Linked DNA regions of Xenopus tropicalis. The protein of the gene in region 2 purifies or fractionates together with the protein of the main gene of each other region. This does not show direct contact. Links are inferred from orthologs where the notes say so. Each region holds a gene or a part of one and is shown on either strand. Other genes may lie near its edges.

Region 1 (3,785 bases), on a different chromosome or scaffold from region 2:
ACGTCTGGAAAGTGCAGGTTTACATTAGGTATATTTATCTGTTCATGCACTCTAATACAGTATAAAATGCCAACTAGTCGGTGACTAGATGCATATACTTATATAGGTGGTATTTAGTATTTATAGTTTGAATGGGGAATCCTGATGGTTTCTGGTAAGATTCCTAGTCATTTCATTTTTGATAGAATTTTGATTGATTTATTGATTGATTGGTTAAATTAGGCTATCAAGTTCACCAAATTTTAAGGCTAATTTGATCAAAAATCACTTTTTATAATTATTTCTACCTAGAGTGAATTGGTATCTCAGATCCCAAAAAGAACTTCCGGTCTGAGCTATCAAACTCTAGGCTATGGGCAATGGTTATATTTAATTTCCCTTTAATCAATATCAATATTAGGGATGCATCAAATCCAAGATTCAATTTCGGGATTTGGCTAAGATTCGGCCTTTTTGTCAGGATTCAGATTTGGCCGAATCCACGCTCCTGGCCAAACCCGAATCCTTAAAATCTCGTAACTTTTGGTCATGTAAACACAGAAGTTGAAATTTTTTCACCGCACATATGCAATTTCAGATTCGGTTGGGTATTCAGCTGAATCTCTCATGAAGGATTCGGGGTTCGGCCGAATACAAATAAATTGGATTCGATGCATCCGTAATTTATATGAACCACATGCATGGGTTTCCATGGGTATTCAGTTGAATTTAATTGATTCAGGAAGATATGGTTCTGAAGCAATTTAATTCATAAAACCAATAATCATTATTGATCAACCCCTAATGTAGAGTCAGTCCGGCCTTAGAAAGAAAATGGGTTTGTTTTTAACATGGTGTGCCTTTAACTACACTTTGCTTACATGACAACTTCTATTTCTCTAATAGCCAAGAGTTTTAGCCCTTTTCACTCTCTTAATTCTGTAACATGCAGAGATAATCTTCTTTCAGTTGGCAGGTTATCTAAATAATTTGTGTAGCTAATCATTCCACCCAACTTTCTCTTTTTGCAGTCTACTTGTTTTTCCTTTTTGTCATTCTAATCAACCCCACCCCTTATCCACTTTTATATTAGTCCCTGAATGACATCTATAGCTAACATACATTTCCACACCCTCTGCTTACACAGCTTTAGTTTTTGTTTCTGCTCTACCTGCGCTATATCACACCAATAACCAATTCTTTTGCTATATCAACCAACAATCTGTATCTTTATGTAGTGTATCTGATCCCTTACTTATAAATATTAGTTCATACTCTGGAAGGTAAGCTTCACTTTCTTAATATCAGTTTTTTTCTGCTTTTTCTCTGCTTTTCCCTGTTCATGCATTTTTTTCTTTTGATTGGTATAGAAGTATTTCACTAGCCCCCAATACTAAAGGTAAATCTGAGGGAACTTTAACATTCAATCTTTCCTTCGTCACTGATCAACAGTGATCAGGAAATTAAAGAGAATGAAAAAGTCCCAATAATGTGGTTCTGTTTGGCTCAGAACTACGGAAAAAAAATAATTATGTGACACGTTGATGGAGTCACAAAGATAAGCTGCATTTTTTTCTTGCATGGAAAAATTAAAAATCATAGAGCGCCATTTTAAGGCTAGGCACTCTTGTGATGATAAACATCAGAGAATTAGCAAAAAGATATCTATTGATAGGATTTGCCAGAAAAAAAATTGCAATGAGGGAGCCTAAACAGTTTTGGCTTGTGTCACAAAATCTGTTTAGAATGTGATAAAGCTGGCATTTGAAACCAAAAATGGGTTTTAGTTTGGTGTAAAAAAAAATGCAGTATGGTGCTTTGCTTTACAGGCCACAAGCTGTCACATGTGCGTCAAATAAATGTATGACTCTCAAGATGTTGTGTTGCTAGAGAGCCATTTGTAGCTTGGTAATTATATTTGTATTTGGTGTGACACATCATAAGGGATAGTGACAATTTTCTGGAGTGACTAGCTGGTGTTATTGTAGCACACCAGTTTATGGCAGGTTGAATGCTATGATTTAGTCACATCAACATTTTTGTATTTAGCCTATGTGTCACTTCTGTAGCACATGACAGGGGACATGAAAATTAAAAAGTGCAGCAATGGGAAATGTGCGTGACCCAACTTGCACTTAGGCTTGTGTAGAACAAAAAAATGAAAAAGTTGTTTCAGTGCCACACAGGGTAGTAATGCCTGAGTTTGGCTTGGTGCTTCTTTCAAAAACAGTCCCTTAGTTAGCGTTGTCAGCCAGGGGCTGCTTGAGGAATGAGGGAGGAGGAGGAAGAAGATGAGGAGTTGGTAATTACATCTTGCATAAATTTGCGGCAAACCGGGCGAATCTCCTTGCTCAGTGTGGCACTGAACATCATAACCTGCTTCTCATGTGGTGTCATGCGGAAAATTTCCTGTACATCTCTGCGCATGTCTATGGGTTTTGGAAAAAGAAAAACAGAGTAAATAACAGTGAATGAGAGGGGAATTTCCACCCATCTCAACTTTAAAAAAGGAAACATGACACATGAGGAGATTAGTCGCTCCGTGATAAATCTTCTCCAGCATGGGCAATTACTTTCCTGAATGCTTTCCTACCAGTGTAAATCACCCATGGAAAAACATGCGTCGCTTTGGTTTTCTGAAGCCATCTTAAGTTGCCTTGCAAGGCAACTTAAGATGCTTTAATAGAAAATACCTGCTAAAACTTGGCTTCCTTTCAATTGAACTACGGCGATAAGGCGAAGGAAGGAGCTGCATCCACTATTTGACGATCAATTGATCGAGCCTAGCCTGACTCCTTCCTATACAGAAAGAAGGCTAGGCTCGATCAATCGATCGTCGCATAGTGGATGCAGCTCCTTCCTTCGCCTTATCGCCATAGTTCAATTGGCAGGAAGCCAAGTTTTAGCAGGTATTTTCTATTAAAGCATTTAAAAAACTAAGTGGTTTGCAGGATAGGACATTTATTGGTGCAGGGTAAAATAGCTTTTTTACTTAAAAAAATTTAGTGTTACATTTCCTTTAAAGGGCTGCTGTATTCACCTTAATATAAGAACCCATATGACAAACACAAAATATTCAAAATATACTTCTTCCTGTGGTATATTTCCCTAAAGAAGGTTGTAAATCCAAAAAAGAAAGACATTTTGCCTTTGGCTTATTTAGGCATGTATTGCATTTAATTACTCACCTAGCTGTTCTAACATCTTGTCACACTCATCAAGGATGAAATGTTTGATGTGTTTCAGATTCAGAGTCTTGTTTCTTGCAAGCGCCAGCATTCGCCCTGGTGTTCCCACCACAATGTGGGGACAGCTCTTTTTCAGAACCTCCTCATCTTTCTTAATAGCAAGCCCCCCAAAAAATACTGCCACCTGAAAGACATAGTGTAATTTTAAAGACAAGGAAAAAAAACAGAAAAACAGGGGAAAGCAATGACAGTAGAGAGTCAAATACCTTTAAAGAAACAATAACACTAAAAAAAATGAGTGTTTTAAAGTAATTAAAATATTAGGCACCATTGCCCTACACTGCACTGTGTTGCTGCAAAAGAGCCACAGATTTAGAAGGCATGTAATGGATAAGATGTGTCAGAGGGTTGAGTTCTGACACAGGAGGATAAATAGGTGCCAAAGGGAGTAAGGGTAACTTCACACCTGGTGGATGATCTGCTGAGAAAAAAGAATGAGAATGCCCTAAGGCAGGGATCCGCAACCTTTCATACCCGTGAGCCACATTCAAATAGAAAGTGTGTCGGAGAGCAACAAAAGCATTGAAAAAGTTCCTGAGGGTGCAAATAAGAGCTTTA
Region 2 (3,785 bases):
TACAATATAAAGCGCCAGTGGGATGGCATACGCGTCACTGCAATGTCCCGCAGGTGCATGAAGTTTCCACTGAAGACTGCAGATTTACATTCTAGCCGGTCTCCCGTGTACAGCACTTTTAAAATGCTTTCATTGCAATTACTGGCACAGAGCAATGCTCCAGTTGCCTTAGGGGTGTACATTTATCCTGTATTTCTGAAAAAATTCAATACAAGAAACATGCACTAGCACCAAACTTCATTCTCCTTATGGGTAACCACAGTAGGATTGAGGGAAAACCTTTTAATCTGTTACTTACGGGGAAGCTGTGGTGGACGATCTGCAGGGAACAGGTCTCCTTTGGGCATTGATTTGTCATCCTGTTGTAAAATAAAATTGTTATGTTAAACAATCGAATTAGCCAGATAATGCACAACTTTAGGTGGCCATATCAGGAGAAGATGGTGACCCCGCCAAAGGAGCAGGTCGCAATGCGTATGGCTGCAATTTAGAACAGTGTGCTTTAACATAACCAAACACCACACAGACCCAATTTACATGAGTACTAATAAAAAAAAAATTAAATACAATCTTACCATTTTCACCATCATAGGTCTGTCAAAGAGAGGCTGTCCATTGAACATTGCTATTTTGCAGTTAAGTTAAATTCACTAATGTAATACATTACATTCGGTCATTGGAAAACATGTCCCCCCCCCCCCCAAAACACATAAGTTAATAGAGCTTCTCCAGGAGAATACTGCATTGAAGTCAGTTTTTCAAAAACAGTTTTTATATTTAATTTATAATAGTTTCTAATGGGGCTAGACATTTTCTTCATTCCCCAGGGTGCCACAACCATGTGACCTATGCTCTGATAAATTTCAGTCACACGTTACTGCTGAGCTGCAAGTTGAAGTGATATCAGCCCCCCTCCCAGCAGGTAGCAAGATAGCAGCTCCCAGTAGATATCAGAATAGCACTCTACAGTAAGATCCAGGTCCAGCTTGAGACTCCTAAAGTTACATGGGAGTAGGAGAAACAATAGGCTACCTAAAAGCAGTTCCAATGTGTAGTGCTGGGTTTTTCTGAAAGTCAGACTACAATGCACTGGCATGGCTGCCAACAGACCAACATCACTACTGTTAATTTTATTTTTGAGCCAGTTGTAAATTATTTGCCATGTAAACAGTGTAATTTAGAAAAAGTATAACATACAAATGATGACAGAATGTAGAGCTGGGCGGTATGACCAAAAATTTATATCACGGTATTTTTCAAAATTATATCGGTGTCACGGTATTTGACGGTATTTTTTTTTCCATGCATGATTAGGTGTTAACCCCATTTCCTAATAAATTAGAGAATAATTACTGCAGTATTGAAAATCAGAGTCAGGCAAGCGAAGGATCGGCAACAGAAAGTCGTAAGGTAAATCAGGCAGGCTTAGTTTCCCAGGCAAGGCCGCAGACAACATAGCACAGGAGGCGGCGTTTGATAGCTTTAAAAACCCCCTACGCATGCGCAGAACCGGCGCCGTCAGCACGCAAGGAGGCGCGCGAGACCGGGCCGCACGGGTGAGTACCCCGACACCCCGGTATTGCGGTATCTGAAAAATGAATATAGTAAAAAAAAAAGAAAAAAAAAAAACACACCGGTATTCGGTATTAAACGGTATATCGCCCAGCCCTAACAGAATGCCTTTAAGGAAGATCCTTCTTCACTTAAAGAACTACACAGCCTCCAGAATTACCTACCTTTGTCCCAGCATTCGGTCTGACCTGGTTCCTCAGTTAGAAGTTGATGGTTTCCTTTGCTTCCTTATGCAGAGTGAAGCCCCGCCCCCACTTCCTGTTCAGTTCTCTCAACACTTCGACTACTGTAGTCGAGTGTAGAGCCTTCTGTGCATGCCTGGAGGCAGCAGGAGCCAGTTTGTGCATGAGCAGGTTTTTTTTTTTTTGATGAGAGACCAGGAAGTGGAGGCAGGGCTCCACTCAGCACAAGGAAGCAAAGGAAACCATCAACTTCTAACTAAGGAACCAGGTCAGACAGAATGCTGGGACAAAGGTAGGTAATTCTGGAGGCCATTTAGAAAAAATTTACTGATGGGAAAAAAAAAAAAAAAAAAAACAGGTTTACTTATTCTTTAAGACTTGCTATAAAATACCACAGATAATAGGTCTGACTGAAAGGATACATATTGCTTGAACAGCTTCTATAGGTTGTTCATATGTAACTGTACCAATCCCTCGGCTCTTTCCATCTTTATCTTCCAAAACATCTGCCCGCACTACAGTGCCTGCAATTCCAAATACCTCCTTTAACTTCTTCCAGCCGACACTGTAGTCAAGCTACAAAAAAAAACAAAACACAATATTGGATTGCTTGATCTCCGTTTGCAGCAAAGGGAATCTATTGTAGGACAGAAGGGAACACGTTTTCAGATTTCAAAAAGTTCTCCCAGCAATATGTAGGATACCAAGTGATTGCAAACTACAACTAACCGATTCCTTTGGAGGCCTACCCTGGGAAAGATGATTTTGAGACAAGTATGCAAGTTATACCTGGACAGGTTTGACACTTTGGCAGTCAATTTTAATTTAATACTAGGGGATGCTGAAACAATAAAAGCTAAATTTCTGATTTAAAGCAAAGTAGACACAGCCCATTATGCCATTTGAAATTATTGGAATCTTACTAAAAATTTGGGCAGCACTAAAAACATTGAACTGTGTATAACAGGAGGGACCAGGGGGGTGGGGGGTTATCCAGTGATTCTCCCCTGGAATAACTCTGTGCCAGCAACAAGCTTGTTCAGTTGGGCTTGCCAAAGCGGGGTTATATAAGCACAATGTGTTAAGCTTTGCTCTGGATAGGGTTGGGAAAATATTATATTTAGCAGTTTGTTATCCTGACAAAGGGAGCCTTAACCACAGGCACTTGTATTTGACAGCAAGTTATCAATGCTAGCATAATTATTTACTGCAAAATAAAAGTTAAATTAACTGTACCTTAAAATTATGTTGTAATTATGTGGAGAGCTTTTTTTCCCCTACAATCAGTCTGCTATTGAGACAAATAATTCTGGAAGTGCTTTCAATGTCCTACCTGCAGTCATACAGTAACTGTAATGCTTAGGATCTTAACAGCATACTTCAAACCCTGTAATTCAGGCTGGTTTGCGAACTTATAAGAAAATGTATTCATAAATCCATTACCCCCCCTACCCAACAGTATTACTGTCAAGACTCAAAAATAACGCATTTGCAGCTGTTTGCCCCCAATAAACCAACTACACAAATTTTATAGATGCTTAAATCTGCTATTTTTATTCTACTAGGTCAAGCCATGTTAGTGGAGATTATGGTAGACTATTACACAAGACACACATCCATGTTACACCTAACAAAGAACATATATTTGATTAAAGGGTCATAGTTGATACTTTTACTCACGTTGGCTACAAACACGGTGCTCCCAAGTCTTCCTGCTTGTAGTGCATGGATAACTTCCCTAGGAATATTTGGGTTGTTAAGCAGGCTAGGTGGAATATTCCCCCCAACTGGTCCTGGGCCACCCATTCCAAGAGGACCAGGTCCACCCAGCCCAATTGGACCTGGACCACCCATTCCCATTGGCCCTGGCATTCCCATTGGTCCAGGACCACCCATGCCCATTGGTCCAGGACCACCCATGCCCATTGGCCCTGGCCCAAAAACAGAGTGGGCAGCTCTTCTGGATCGTTCGCCATCAGGGTCCTGTAGAGATAAGAAAATTGTACAGTTCTAATATTTACAGCCCAGTTT

Evidence for each region. Proteins that work in one complex are often made in the same cells at the same time.
Region 1: the proteins of hnrnpm (region 2) and ddx39b purify together in Homo sapiens (affinity purification with mass spectrometry; 4 studies listed by BioGRID, with this or other methods). This does not show direct contact. The link is inferred for Xenopus tropicalis from reciprocal best matches to the Homo sapiens genes HNRNPM and DDX39B.

Annotation. Positions count from the first base shown.
Region 1 is NC_030684.2:74,199,416-74,203,200, forward strand, and holds part of ddx39b (spliceosome RNA helicase DDX39B), read right to left. Parts: intron 3,352-3,785; coding exon 3,168-3,351; intron 2,409-3,167; coding exon 2,290-2,408; intron 1-2,289. UniProt on the Homo sapiens protein: Involved in nuclear export of spliced and unspliced mRNA. Component of the TREX complex which is thought to couple mRNA transcription, processing and nuclear export, and specifically associates with spliced mRNA and not with unspliced pre-mRNA.
Region 2 is NC_030677.2:92,211,075-92,214,859, reverse strand, and holds part of hnrnpm (heterogeneous nuclear ribonucleoprotein M), read right to left. Parts: intron 3,738-3,785; coding exon 3,435-3,737; intron 2,331-3,434; coding exon 2,177-2,330; intron 626-2,176; coding exon 576-625; intron 360-575; coding exon 299-359; intron 1-298. UniProt on the Homo sapiens protein: Pre-mRNA binding protein in vivo, binds avidly to poly(G) and poly(U) RNA homopolymers in vitro. Involved in splicing.